Linked DNA regions of Styela clava. The main gene of each other region encodes a partner of the protein of the gene in region 2 in a complex. Links are inferred from orthologs where the notes say so. Each region holds a gene or a part of one and is shown on either strand. Other genes may lie near its edges.

Region 1 (7,889 bases), on a different chromosome or scaffold from region 2:
AAATCCACTTCCATTTGTCCAGCCTGCATTAGCCATTGTCTAAATATACAACTTGCTACTAGTCACCAGCTCTACGATACGCCCATCCATCAAACAACACATTCGGTACATGGAGACGGCACGCAAACCAAAGACATCAGCTGTGACCGCCGAGCATATAGGACCCTGAACTTTACCAAGACCGAGAGGCTTCGCAGAACCGCACACGTCGAAACCGCCCAAGCTTGGTCTATCTACAGAAGGATGCTTTCCGCTTATGATAAAACAATCGCGAAATATTTTTGGCAACAAAACGGCTGCCCTCGGGATAGATCTATGTACTGGCTCACAAAAGAAGCACAAATGCAGCAAGCATTTACCGTAATTTATTTACTGCTTTATAACATAATACTAACTCGTTTACCAGGTGGTTTAGAAAACTTTCTTTGTTGTAGAAAATTACTATTTATGCATGCTGCCACATGATATCTGTTGCAAATGCGCATAGACCACAATAGAATATACATGTATAGTGAACACATAAAATATATGCCTAAGAGATTATCTGAGTGTACGTAGTATTTCAATTCCATGAATGATCAAGTAGCTGCAGGTTCTAGTCTGGCTAGCAACAAATAGGTGATAGCTTCTTAACAGTCTCACAATTGAGAGTACATAATTCCAGAAATCGCACGATGAAACCCAACAGACAAATCATTTCTTATAGCAACCCTGCAAACTGGGTAGGGCTGTCATATTGCTAGTGCCAGGTAAATATCTTGCTATCAGTCATTCATGTCATTGATAAAGCCGCTTAAAATTTTATCCTTTTTGAATATGTCCTTCACAATATCAGATGTTTCTGTGTCCATACTGTTTTTACCCTGGGCATTCTGAGATATTGATGTTGATAAATCAGTACTAGATAAATCAGTAAGCATGGAATCAACATTCATAGGTTCCTGAAAAAAAATTAAGGTAAATAAGGACGCGAACTGGGAGCTTGAGTATCTAGACAAGTTCAAAACTCAAATAGCATCATAATGTATGAAATCACAAAAGTTTGTATTTATTAAAATACAATTATTAAAAACTCAGAAACTTTGAAATACGATAATTATGGCAGAATAGTGAACTGAGAAATAGAATAGAAAATAATCAATATGAAATATTTCCTTACCTGGTTTCGCATTAGCTCAATGGCTTCAACTGCAGACTGATTCTGAATGAAATAAAAAACTGTTAACCGTATATGGGAAATTGTTGACCTTGAGCAAAATGCAACACTCCATTCATTGAAGTTTTTGAGAAATGGTCAAATGGGCGCATGAAAAAAAGACAAGTCGTGGCATGCGGCATTATATGAAACACCACATACCTCTGCTTGCATTGTCGCAAGTTGAGTACTAGACTCTGACAATATATCACCAGCTTTTTCAATATGTTTCCATAACCTTTCGCCAACGTCTAGCATTTGTGCTTGTTGCATTTCCATCATAACTTTAAGAGTTTCGCGAGCTTGGTGAGGACTGTAATCAAAAAAGAAATAACTTAGTCATGTTACTGTAGTCAAATTTGTACAGTTTCTCATTACTAGTCTTATCACTACTATGAATAACCAATAAGTTTGTGATGCAGATGCAATAACAAAAACAATATATGTAGTACCGAAATTCATTTATTAGGTGATGTATGTGTATAAAAAGCATGTTCAAATCTTCTATCTTCTTATCGCGTGCTTCAGATTCTGTAGCACTAACAAGAACATCCAACAAATCTAAAAAATTGCAGAGTATAGAAACAGTGAGTTTCTTCAATTCCTTTCTTCTGTCATATACAGGTGGATGGAGCCGTTGAAGTCCCTGAAAACATAACTATAATGTTATTCCATATCTTGTTCAGATAGTCATTAAAATGTGTAGAGGCAAAGTTTGTGCAGAAATATCATTTAACCCTGAGAGTTGTAATATTGTAAGCCAGCAATATAACTTAAACAGGTGTTTCTCCAATACTGTGGACAACCAATGCACTTTCAAATTTCAAGAATAATGAGCAATTTTTCTAAATAATTTATCATATGAAATTATCAATTATTTTTTGTATGAAAATGGCTCATATGGATTATCATTTTTTCCGTTGATGACACGCAAAAAAAAAGAAAATAAGTTACTAATGTGAAAATAAAATATAGGCTATATGATATAAATATAAGAACTACCTTTATTTCCAGGCAGTTTTTTGAGATGGAGCATCGAGATATTAGACCTGAAGAAAAAGCATGCCCCAACCATAAGAACTAGAGGTTTCAAATGTTGTCGCATGTTTAATATAGATAACACCATGATAATCGTATGAATATTAATTATGCTACTCCCGTATTCAGGTATTGAACTAGCTTTTCGAATAATAAAAATTAGCACCTGCATTTCCAAAGGTCTGATGATCAGGTCATCTTGATGACATTGTTGTCCAAACATCATGTAAGAACCATCAGGCAGAGCTGGAGGCTTAGGAGCAATATCCCTCTGAACAGCCTCATCCGTATACTTGCTTATGAACTGAAATTTATGCATGAGGAATTATTTGCAATTTCAAAACTAAACAAGATAGGAATAGGAGAATTCAAAAAATAAAATACATCCTCAGAGAGGAAAGTTGGCTCAATCATATGGTAAACCACAGCCTCTCGTCCGGTTACCGGTACCGCACCAGTCCATGTCGGGTATATGTTTAGTTGGCCAGTTATTTGTTTGGGATGCATAGACTTATAGCTATATACAAAACAGGCTAAAATATTCTCAATGAGAACTGGAGAACGGTCTATTTTGATGAAAAAAAACATAATAAAATTTTTATAATACAGTGTGAACTTTGCGCAATATAACATGATTTTATTTTACTTATTAATGAAAACTTTACCGTATCTTACCATCTTGGGTGGCAAAGGAAATGAACTTTGGACTTGGACATCACTTGATCCACCGACAGTCTGCTGAGCCGCAGCCATTGTATTCCTGAATAGCAGGCGAATTATACCGGTACCAGGTTACAGTTCCGTTTTTATTGTACACCATGCGCATGAGAAAGACCGTAACGCTAGACCTGTAGGCCGTAAATATTTAGGTATAGAACAACATTCGAACGTCTTGAAGCCAAAATTCATTAGCATAGTTAGCATAGCATTTAAAGGCATGGCATTAGGTAATACCTTATCGTGGCGTGGTAGTGAAGTCATGCCAGTGGCCGTGTCACATAATAGACAGTAGACACTAGTGGTTAATCCATAGTTTTTATAATGATAAGAATAAGATCATTTTGTAATTCCCAGAAAAACAAACACAAAATATAACAACTCACAGAAAATCGCTGGCGAAACCACTGATAAGATTCAAAACGCGCAGAAATAGGAATATGGTGAGCGCCAATAAATACTGAAATAAGTAAATGCCCATTCATATATTTTGATCCGTATTTCATTGCTGATGCTATGTCTTATTGATTCCTCATGGACTTTCCCCGAGCATCGACTTTCTTGTTTACTTCGTGGCATTGGCCATTGGCCAATTAGCAAGATGCAAAAAGTGACGTGCAATGCTCCCGTTTCGCATCCGCTCGGACACTTTTCTCACTCAGACAAGTTTTCAAGCGTGGTCGTAAACATTCCCTCATTTTCGCGTTTTCGAAATTTATTCTTATGTGGGAAATTTTACCTTTAAAAACCCATGCAAGAATAAAGTGGATTTCTGGAAATGATTTGTGTGCCCTCTGTGGCAAAGAACCAGAATTTATATCACATTTATTTTTGAGATGTGAATTCACTCAACATATATATGATTATATTTTTTCTGTTATTAGGAAAATTAGTAATTTAAGAGAAGACTATTTGACCTGCATTTTATTAGATTTTTCCCAAATGAACAGTGTATTTTTTTCAGATTTTCATGAAAACATTATAGTATTACTTATATCAATAACAAGATATAAGATCTGGTTAGAAAGAAATGCTGTTATATTTCAAAAAAAGATACCTAACGTTCAAACAGTCATAAAACAGATACAAACTTCAATAACATGTCGGAGAAATATAGAAAAAGTTCGAAAATTACCAAATTTCATAAAGGAATTAGAATTTTTAACCAACTGTCTGTGATTATATTTTGAGTAAATGTATAGTTGCTAATATTTTTTTTTCTATTTTTATGTATAACAAATAATGCTTAACTAATGTATTATTAACTTGAAAACATCTTGATATCACTGAATTGATATTACGGATTATACATGGATTATTGAACATTGGAATACTGAAAAATGGAAACTACGTCGGATAATATGGATTACAATTTGAGATAATAATGATTGTAAAAATTTTATTTCCCATTATTTCTATGATTATTACTGTATCACATTTAACACATTTGTGAGCGTTTAAAAAAAAAAAAAAAAAAAAGAAATTTATTCTTTAGTTTTCAGTAGTGTTTCAGAAACTTAAATATAAATCAGATAATTCAATGATCATTCTGTCTTTCTAGGAGTTTTAGTTTAATTGCAGTAATAAAAAATTAGTGTAGAAATAGCAGTGGATAGACTAGGCTAAAATTCTTTACCGGTACTTTTAAAAAACAGATTGTTGTATGCGTTGAATCAAAATGATGGTTTGAAACACATACCCCATTTTACAGGCGCCAACTCGCAAAAGCACTCTTAAAATAACCCCGAAAATTATTGCAATGGTGAAGTTTAGATAGAATTTCTCGGGGGTCAAAGATCGGGGAAAGGTCCGTATACATTATACAGCAAGGGCCAGCCCCCAGGAGCCTTGGTGACCTAACTGGTCTTGCATATTGACCCTCACAAATAATGATCAACCAGTTGTTTATTGTTAAATTTTATTTTGTGTTGCTTCAAATGTATTATAGTGTTGATATTGTTTGTGATAACAAATCTCTCTCCCACATATAACCTATATAACACGCGCATAAATAACGAAAAAAAAAACTAAAAAACGGGAACATTTATCGGCTGAGGGCGCATAACGTTGTGTACAGGGTACTACTTTCGAGTGTACATATGAAAAAATTGGAACGATACAGAGAAGATTAGCAAAAAAAAAAAAAAAGGTTGCCATATTCGCTTTTTTAACGCCAAATTTGCCATTTTTGGCTTTTTTGAAACCCGTATAGCGTCAGAATATCCGTTTGGCTTTTTGGCGTTTTTTAAGTCTATTCTAGTGTCTATTATTAGAATCATATGAAATACAATATTTAGTGTGTAACAACTGAACAATAGCCTATTACTTGTACTTAGCTACTTAACATTAGGATTTCCTGGAGCATCGATTTCCTTGTTTGTTACATTAACTCTTAACCATACCCAATAAGAAATAATTGCAGTTTCTGCAGCTGCTCAGACAGATGTTCAAGCAGGGTTGTAAACATTGCCTCGTTTTTATAGTTTTCGTTCTGTTTCCAAAAAATAGTTATATAACTTAATTTTCATTATGCCTGATATGGTTTATGTGAGCTTTAGTTTAATTCTGCAATTGCAATAACGATGTGATTAACTACGCTAAAATTACTGAATAAGATATCAGTGGTAGAGATGTACCGTTACCACTTTTGTCGCCGATACCAGCTAAAAACGCCGATACGCCGATACTATAAGAAGGCCGATATTCCGATACTATGTAATTATTACTTAATTAGGGGTGCTGTGTAGGGCAGACGGGTTAAAACAATGGTCTTTGAGCGTTGTTCATAGTACACATTATTTCAGATCGAAAAAAAAAGATATATCACATAATATGAAATTAATGTTTGGAGTTTGCTTTAACTGATTAAGATACATTGTACAGTAACGCTAGTAATCTCGGTGTTCAATTAGAAAACTCATAAGCCGGGATGTCAAATTTGAATTTAATGTTAATATCGCGACCTTCGAATATCGTTTTTCGTGTTTAAAAGAATATCGAATATCACCCACATATTCTAGTGCCGCCGTCCTACGCTCAAATTAAAAGCATTTTACAAATATTGTATTTCATGGCTAATCATAATCGTCGACGCAACAAGTCAAAGCCAACATGAATAAAGAATATCAATCAGCACCAACAAAAAGAAGGCCTACCTATAACCGTCGAGGAGGTTTTTTTAGTAAAAATAACATGATCTCTTTCAACGAAATAGATTTTATAATATTTTACAATTGCAATCATATATTTTGAGACAGTCTAGGGATAGGCGGTCATGTCAATATATCTATAAAATAGTTGTGTAATTAAACAAAATTCAAATTAATACTTGCGTAGAGAGATAATTGTGTCGGAATTTAGTTTATCGATGTCGACGGACTAAATGACACTCGTACTTGACGACAAACAGTCAGAATTTATACCTGTGCCAAGGGTCTATGTGCCGTTAATAAGGACCCCAATTCCACTGTATGATTTAAAACCGGGCGCCTGATTGCTTTTTGTTATGTGCGGTGTTGATATATTTCTTCATAATTACTATGTATTATTAAAAATGTCAATATAAAAATTTGACAGCGAAAATATCTAAATTAGTTGAGCTAGTTTGGCTGATAAATAGCTAAAAACACGTGAATATTCTCTCACGGTGGTGGGGACATGTATGGCTCATAGCTCACAATCTCTCCAGACAAAAAATAAATTGAAAAGTAGTATTCCAACTAATCTATTTTGGACCATATCAAAAAGTTAAATATATCGGAAATATCGGCCTTAATCTAACCGATACCGATACATGGCCGATATTGCCGATACCGATATCCGATACATCGGTACATCTCTAATCAGTGGTCCACCTGTGAGCGGCAGGGGGTTAGATAATTTTTTAATAAAATTGATGGTTTATAAATTTTAAAAGTAAAAAATATTCAATAGTAAAGTACGATATAGGGAGAAATTTTTAAGGTATATCATAAGTTTAAGTAGAAACATGTAGGTATATCATATTCTGATGCGGCACCCTGTATTGTATTTATTGAATGGTAAAATAATGCTGTCCGCTCGATATTTAATTTCTACAGTGCTAGGCTATAGGAACTTTACTTTCTATTCGTGTGCCTCACTGAATGAACTAATGGCTCTATATCATCATCGGTACGTTGCCAAGGGCTTAAAATCTGACAAATCATGGGTAGCCTACGGTACTTAGTAAAATTGTTGGCTTTTTCTGGCTTTTTTTATGTCTTGATTTGGCTTTTTTTGATGGCTGGGGTCTGGCAACCCTGATTGTGTAACCAATCACCAAAACATAAATCATGGATCTGTTTACAACAGACACATTTAAAGCAAAACAATAATTTAATTGAGGTGAACAACTGCAAAGCAATGTGCTAGGTGTGAACCAAAGCATACCGTACCTATAACTTGTTGTACACAATGTCACAAAAATGACTTTATTAGTTGCTGCATCCTCGTTGATCTGATTGTTATGCTTCTCAGTTCTCAATTCTGCAATGATTGGTCGTTTGACTAGTTGACAGACAGGTCGCAGTGTGAATCGAAATAAACTTATACCGGTACTTATAATGGGTATAGCTAAATGTGTTTTACCAAATTTTGAATTTGTATATGGCAGTCAATGTATTACAAAAATATTTGAGCTATGTCTGTTTTTAATCCTAATGACCATCAACATATTCGATATAATCCACTGAAAGATGAATGGGTTTTGGTGTCTCCACATCGTCTTAAGAGGCCATGGACTGGACAAGTTGAAAAACCAGTTTTAGATGAAATTCCTGAATACGACCCTAAAAATCCACTGTGTCCTGGCAACATAAGATCGAATGGTAAACAAAATCCAAAGTATTCAGGGACTTATGTTTTCGATAATGATTTTCCTGCTCTACAACCTGAAGTTTTTTCAACAGAAGAAAATAAT
Region 2 (7,839 bases):
AAATTAACTGAAAAAACCAGTCTGAACAGGACAAGCCAAGCCAAGTCACAAGCATTTCTGATTCTTACCAATCCCCAAAAAACCTTGAACTTGTTTTTAAACTATATTTTATGAACATCCAACAGACAGTCAGCAACAAATAAATTCTCTCCAGTTTAATTCCTTCCGAAGTCAATTCTAGCATAGTTGCGAAACATTAAGTATATTTACTCAGGTTTGGCCCTTGTTGATTGAGGACAAAACAAACTAATAAAAGACATTTTATTTAGAAAGAAATATTGAAAACATGTTGTGACATCATCTGACCTTACCTTTTAAATAGGAATTTAAATTGTGGAAATTTTAACCAAAAGATTTATCAATTTAAAAATGGATAAAAAAATGCTATTTGGAACATAAATACGATATGCTGGCATCTTACGTTGAAGATTTTGGTCTCACACAAAGTGTCATAAACTGCTGAATAAGCAAAGGCCCCACTTCAGCAGTCCCTAAGGGCGCCACAGAGTAAAAATATAGGTATTTACAGTTGGGGAGGGGGGGGGAGGACACAATGCTGGCGCAAAATTAATTTTATTTTTCATTCATAAGAAAACTCCCCATTCTTCCTAGTTTCATTGTTTGATAAGAGATTTCACAGGGTGTTTTCACTTTGTTAAGCATAAATTGCTCAAACATAATGGGATTTGGAATCTACCAATCAAAATGACATACCACTGGAATGATAAACTGAGGGACATGACTGCCATAAAATATTGAGAACCACTGCTCACTTTATTGCCAGTGCCCACAATGTCAACCTGTCCAGAGTGAAACAGAAAACATATCATGAACTAATGTAATGCATTAGAAAACATGTAAATAAGTTGTGTCAACCACAATTATGACCTACCGGTGTTTGCAACAAATAAGGCTCTGCCACAGAAAAACCAAGATAAGTTTAAAATAAATCAAAACTAGTAGTCAAGCTTGAATTCAACTTCAAATATACTTTCTAGTAGTGGTCGTTAACATTATGAAATTAAAACAAAATTAGGACAAAATCATGTTATTATGTTGTTTAAAAATATAGAGTAAATTTGATGATGACGGATTACAATAAACAGTTAGTTGAAGGAATGGTCGTATGGACCCAATTCAATTTGAATAGCATCCTCCTTAGAGGACAAATCGACATGCTGACAGTAAGCTAATAGGTTAACCAAAGAAGGAATATCTCAAGGTCAATAAGGTCATTGTTCAATAATAAGAGGAGTGCCATCATCAGAAAACGCCCAGTGATACGCCCACTTAGATATTTATAGCATAGATTTGATGATTAATAAGTGAACAGATATTGAGAATTGTGTGACGTGCTAAAAGAACATCATTGACACGCCTCCATATGAATTGTGACATTCACCACAAGATGGGATAAGATTAACATATTTATCCTGGGGGAGAGGAAAGCTGATAAGACGGCTTAATCATATGGCAAACCACATCCTCTCGTCTGATTACCAGTCCATGTCGGATATCAGATTAGTCAGTTATTTGTTTTCGGAATCATGGATTGATATTAAATAAATGGTGTTTGACTGCGGAATAGTGTTTGAAACTTTAGTGAATCTCACAGTAATTAAAGCATGACTTGAATGTGAAAAGAGAAAAGCAAAATTGCGGCAAGACTTTGTGAACAAAAAAAAAAAGATTTTAATAAAATATTATGGCTTTTTTTAAATATACTCTGAACTATCTTGTAGATAAGTTACAATATAGATGAAGTTGGATGTAGAATTTTACTATCATTAAGCTGTCGATTCCCTAAACAGATTTTACAAAAGACTAGGTGATTAAAGAAAATGAACTCGGTATATACAATGTGTCAAAGATCAGATGTGTGAGGTAATAAAATGGTAACAGCCCATTATAATTTCACACATTCTAAGTCTGGCGTCTGGCGAAAAATGTAGTCAGAAGTTTATCCATACCATTGCAAGTATGAAAAGCTATCCAAAAAATAAAACGAGTTTGACATCCTAAAAAATTGTAAGCCATCACTTACAAACTCTACAAATATTGCATTATATTATTTCCATTGTTATAAAAGGAATATTCACTTACATTGTTAAGCTCAGCTGCCATGATATAATCTTCAATCTTCTCTCGAAGAAAAGAAACATATTGAAGAGACTTGTAATCCATTGCAGTCATTTACATATCCATCTCTACAAAGAAAGAATATGAACAATCAAAAAATGATAAGGTTGTTCATACCAAAAACAAGAAATATATGATATATATTAAAAGACTTTCATAAATGGTTTATTTGGTAACAATTTAAATTCAATTAACCATACAACAAATACTGTGAATGTAAATGTAAGTTTCTCAAAAGTAAGATTGGTGCCTCTTTGTACCCTTAAATGTCATTTTAACATTGTTTGTTCATACAAGGTGTATTTTCAATGTTTTAAAACTATTGACTTAAAATGCAAGTCAAAGAATAAATAAATATAAAGCCCTATAGATAAGCCTTGAAGCCTCATTTGAAAGTACCGTATCTCAGTATCTACTATACTGCAATACAATTAGTCAATCAGAAAAGTTGATTTATCTACCAAATCTAAAATTTTGAGCAGCAATCATACACAAAGCATCAATGAATCACAGTATTATAGGTTCAAGGCACCTTGACAAATGTTGCATACACAGCACACACGAATACCTGAAATATAAAACCGTAGTGATTCCACGAAATCGAAAATATCATCTATCGAAATTAGGAAAAAAATTGTGGTTCATACCATATCCTACCATCTAAACATACCCAGTAAAGAAGTGGAGTATAATGGTATAAGACAATTTTTACTCCACAATCAGCATAAAAGACGATAAAAACAAAACAAAAAAATAAAACTTAGTCTATTACAGAATCAGAACCGTATTTTGACATCTAGCATACTGATGAATTATTCTCACCTTAGAATACGAAGAACTGAACCTTCCAGAATTGTATTGCAGTCTTCTATGCAATGCTTCCTTCTACCAGTATACTCGACAACAGTGGAATTTAATAAAGCTGCATCGCTGCAAATGTAGAAATGCCGACGAGCAAATAGAAAAACAACACCGGTGAATCGGCATTTCTCCTATTGATCTACAATTGCCAGACCTGATAATTGGAAATACTCAAAAGGAAATTAATATCTAATAAAGTAATGGAATATATGTTCATTAAACAATTTTATATATAAAAATTATTATAATATTACACTATGTATTTTTATCCTTCAATTTACACAAAATAGTAGAATAAAAATAAGTTGTTCTTTTACGAAATGAGAAGAAAATTCTGGCAACAAATCAATAACGAAAAGCTCAAGTGTGTCACCTGCTGACGATAAAAATGAGGCAAAACAACTCGCTAGAGGTCGCTAATATTTGTCGTCACGCCCCACTAATTAGCAAATTATTCCTACACGGTTAAAATAAATGTTCCCTCTCTTATTTTTTTTATAAAGTTTGGAAAAGTTGACATTAAAAAAATATTTTAAATGATATAAACAGTACGGTATACTTATTATATCATACTAAGTAAGCGTATAAAACTTACAGTATATACAAATCAGCAGAGCAAAACCACAGCCGAATTCAAAATACGTTTTGATCTTTGTGCATCATAGTGATCAACCCTGGAAACATGGATCAAACATGGAAGTAAATGAAGTTGGACATTTAGAGAAGATGGGCAAATTGGATTTAAATATTTGCCATTGTGTGTTTTGTATTGTGTATTTATATATTTTATTATGGGACGGGTAGTTTACCTAATTGCTTAGTAACTTGGAATCGTTTTCATAGTGAATTATCTTATTTGGCTCAACCATAGACTCTTGTGGAAGTTCGTTTATTGCTTTCTATACCGGTAACTAGGATAGGATAGGATTTACATATTCATCCCGGGGGAGAGGAAAGCTGATAAGACGGCTTATCCATATGGCGAACCACGGCCTCACGTCCGGTTACCATTCCAAGTCAGGTATGGGATTAGTTTTACCGTATTGTTTGTTTTCGGAAGCATGGACTTGGTGCTGGAGGAAGCCATAACCGACCAGCGGTTACATGAACCACCCAACGACGGCGAGGAGTCCAGCAATCCTCTCGCACATAACCATCCCTGCATGGGATTCGAACCCACGCAGAGTAATTAGAGGTGCGGTCACGAGCGTATTCCTAACGCTTAGCCCGTTGCTACAGGAGTGGTGACTCCTCTACGGCCCATGGGCCAGGGCCACGACCCATCTAATTGGGCCACATGGGCCGTGGCCCATAGCTTGATGGGCCGCAGCCCCATCAAGAAAAATTCAATTATTTTAACAAAATTTTCAATTTTTACCAAATTGTCAATATTCAAACCAAAAAAATATACTCCTGTAGTATGTGTACCAGGTTAGGGTTAGGACAAGAAAAATTCAGATTTTTTTACATTATAGTTCTATTATGAGTTCGGGGACTGTCTGTGTTAGCCAAGTGAATAGTTTCTTTACACAACTTGATGGGCCGCGGCCCATAGCCTGATGGGCCGAGGCCCAATTCGATGGGCCGTGGCCCCGGCCCATGGGCCGCAGAGGATTCACCACTCCCACTCGCCCGTTGAGCCACACCGCCGCGCCTCCTAGACAAGACTATTCAGCAATTTAAACTTGGCTCCTCTTGCAGTCTTGTAATATATTTTATCATCAAGTAAGTTGTGAACAAGTTTGGGGTCTACAGGTCTTAAATAGTTAACGCAAGTAAGTGCCTAAATAACAACAAACAAAAATGTGATTTGAAAATAAATGTTGTGACTGAATTTCATTCAAATTTGTTTTCAAATCCTGAGTTGTTGGCAGTGCTGCAGTGTACGTACATGTCTCTCATCCACATCTCAAGTGTGGTTTGCAGTATTTCATTTCTAAACAGTGGACAATGTAACTTGTGGCCACACTAATTAAATTTGATCTGATAAGTTTATACATCCTACTATGTTGCTTTTTATTCAAAGTTTTCTGCTACATTCCAAGTTTTAGTGCTTAGTATTTTTATTTATCATATCGATATTGAATCAATTTTTAGAAGTTTGATATCGTCGGCCAGTTCATGAAAAAGTTTGTAAACATTTTGAATTTCGCTTTGGATACATTTTCAAGTCCTGTTCCTATGTTAATTTATCGATTAACACTTTGTTAAATACTGCAGTACTGTGCAGAACTTCATGTATAATTTATTTGATTGAAATTGTCGGAATTCTAATTTATCTGTATGATAACTGGATTTTTTAAATTAAAATACTCGTCTAGTTTAATATTTAATTCAATTTGGAAGAACCATTTAATTTGGTTTTGGCGTCGCAGGATATTTAAATTTTGAACAGCCTACTATTAGCTTATTCAATAAATCATTCAAGCAAATTTATGTCACTACAGTACAGCACACTATACAAATCGAGTGACATTGTCCTGTTTCAGAGAAACCCATTTTACCGATGATCAGACAGTCCTCCTTTGGCAGACGTCTGGACATTGTTGTCCCTCAATATCGGTAAAAATGCAGTATAATGAAGTTGGCGCAAAATACTACAAAAAAGCGCAATCTAAAAACGTCATCATTGAATTTCTCTGGAAAAAATAATCCAATTTACCGAAGGGAAAAAGTTTTTTACCGTGGCATTCGAGAGTTTTTAGCGAAAAATGGCAATTTTGGTCACATGGCGGCCGCGATTAATTTAGATTACTATTGAGACAAGCATGGCGTGATATGACGCATCCGACGTGGTGCCCTCTTTTGTGAGACACATGGAGTGTATGTTTTATTGAACAAATTGGAGGGAAATTCTAGGAATTTGGATATTGTGTCGTATTGTACTACTATATTAGCGCTTCTTTTAATTGCCACATTAATGTCATTCTTTTTCTGTAATCAATACTGTAGTAATTCTTACCAAGACATTTAATAGGCCTATATAAAATAATCCAATTGATATTTCAGTAATACTTATAGAGCCATTATTTACTGTATATTGGATTTAAGTAATGTCCGACTTTTGCTGAAAATTTTCCATTCAATGAATTTTTTCTAAACAAGGGAATCAACATGTCTATTGATAGTAGACTTGAAAAAGTTTTCGACGACGCATTGAAGACAGATACAATAGTGAATGTTTTTGCTGGATTTGTTCGTTTAACTCCAGAAGACCATGACAAACGGCTCCGTGCATGCCTTTCTCAATTTCAAGAAATGACCCGAGAGATTGCGCCCGAAGATTGTGTGTCTGGTTTGTTGAATTTTTTCCATAAACAAACTGTTTTACGTCACATAAATTTTGTAGCGGACATGATCAAAATTTGTTTGAAGGATTCGATACTACCTACCAAAACAGTTCTGCAGCGTTTAATTCCTCATGAAATGTTGAAACATAATCGTCGTGTTCATTGGTGCAAAACGTTTGAAATTTTAAAGGAATATATTCATTTAATTGAATATAAAGGATGTCGTGATATTCTGCATCTAGTTCTGTTGAAGTTGAAAAATGTACCGACAACCTCTTGGTCTGAAATGACAGAACAAATGAATGCTATAATTGATGTAATTGAATACCTATTGGATCCAGAAGCTTGTCTATTACCAGGGTATTTAGCCGTTAATGAGATTCGTCAATATTCTGGGGAGGACCAACCATCCGGTCATTGGAGTCTATCAGGGAAAGTCGCGGAGTTTGTAGACAGATTTCGTGCAACGGCGACCATGGTTTCCACAACAGGACGGTCACATCTTTTGCCGGTTGTTTTTCATTTTTCTGTTCCGTTAACGACCACTTGGAAACTTGATCATGAGACTTTGAGATTCACAACGAAAGGACAACTTCCGTATGATAGAAGTTTATATCAACGCCAAACGAAGCTCTTGAGATACATTCTTGAGCAGCCGTATTCAAGAGATATGGTGTGTCATGTTCTGAATCTTCAAAAACAGCAAAAGCAAAGATGCGAAGCGTTAGAAACAGAACTGGTTGATTTAGTTGTCAGCACAATGGAACGAACTAGTGAAATCGAAAATTTAGATGAAAAGGACGATGCTTATCGTATAATACATTTACAATGGCAACATTTATCAAGTCAGGTGATCTACTTTGTTCTTTTGCAATTCGCAGTTTTCCCAAGAATGGTTGAAAATTTTTATCAGAAACTTTCATCAAGAAATGTCAAAAATGGACGTGATCATTTAATGTGGGTCTTGCTTCAATTTATTTCAGGAAGCATTCAAAAAAATCCACTCAGCGATTTTCTTCCGATTATAAAGTTGATGAATTTGTTGTATTCTGAACGTCAACCTCTTCCAGAACCTGATATAACGAAGCCGTTCAGCACACATAAGTTTGCTGCAATTTGCATTTTAATGCATTTGAACAGGAAAGCCCAGAGTGATAATCAACAACAAGAAAATGCAAGTTCTAACAGCTCTTCGGGGTCTATTAGCACCACGTCCAAAACTGCACAATTTCAACATTGTGCGATACCAGTATCATTACAAAAACACCACGAGTATTTGCAGCGTTGTTTGGAATCAAAGAACAACAGTTTGCAAGACTATGCGATCGCTCTGATATGTAACGCTTGTAGCACGACAACAGAACTTTTCAACGGACCTATTAACTCTCTAGTTGACAGTATTTATGGAGATTCGACTACGACACCTTTACCCGGAGAAAACTGCGTAGCTTTTGCTAAAACAACACCACTTTCAATGAGTCTCCTCGATTCTTTAACTGTTCACACAAAAATGAGTTTGATTCATCATATTGTGGTCAAAGTTATGAAT

What was found. Proteins that work in one complex are often made in the same cells at the same time.
Region 1: mediator of RNA polymerase II transcription subunit 23-like (region 2) and mediator of RNA polymerase II transcription subunit 7-like share a complex: the UniProt entries of both Drosophila melanogaster proteins name them as parts of the mediator complex. The link is inferred for Styela clava from reciprocal best matches to the Drosophila melanogaster genes MED23 and MED7.

Annotation. Positions count from the first base shown.
Region 1 is NC_135263.1:12,516,840-12,524,728, forward strand, and holds mediator of RNA polymerase II transcription subunit 7-like, read right to left. Parts: upstream 3,544-7,889; 5' UTR 3,432-3,543; coding exon 3,337-3,431; intron 3,146-3,336; exon of another isoform or gene 2,994-3,145; coding exon 2,909-2,993; intron 2,538-2,908; coding exon 2,400-2,537; intron 1,842-2,399; coding exon 1,648-1,841; intron 1,509-1,647; coding exon 1,358-1,508; intron 1,202-1,357; coding exon 1,160-1,201; intron 942-1,159; coding exon 765-941; 3' UTR 344-764; downstream 1-343. Other genes in the region: galactose-1-phosphate uridylyltransferase-like, read left to right, coding at 7,611-7,889. UniProt on the Drosophila melanogaster protein: Component of the Mediator complex, a coactivator involved in the regulated transcription of nearly all RNA polymerase II-dependent genes.
Region 2 is NC_135256.1:5,125,346-5,133,184, reverse strand, and holds the start of mediator of RNA polymerase II transcription subunit 23-like, read left to right. Parts: upstream 1-4,688; 5' UTR 4,689-6,114; coding exon 6,115-7,839. UniProt on the Drosophila melanogaster protein: Component of the Mediator complex, a coactivator involved in the regulated transcription of nearly all RNA polymerase II-dependent genes.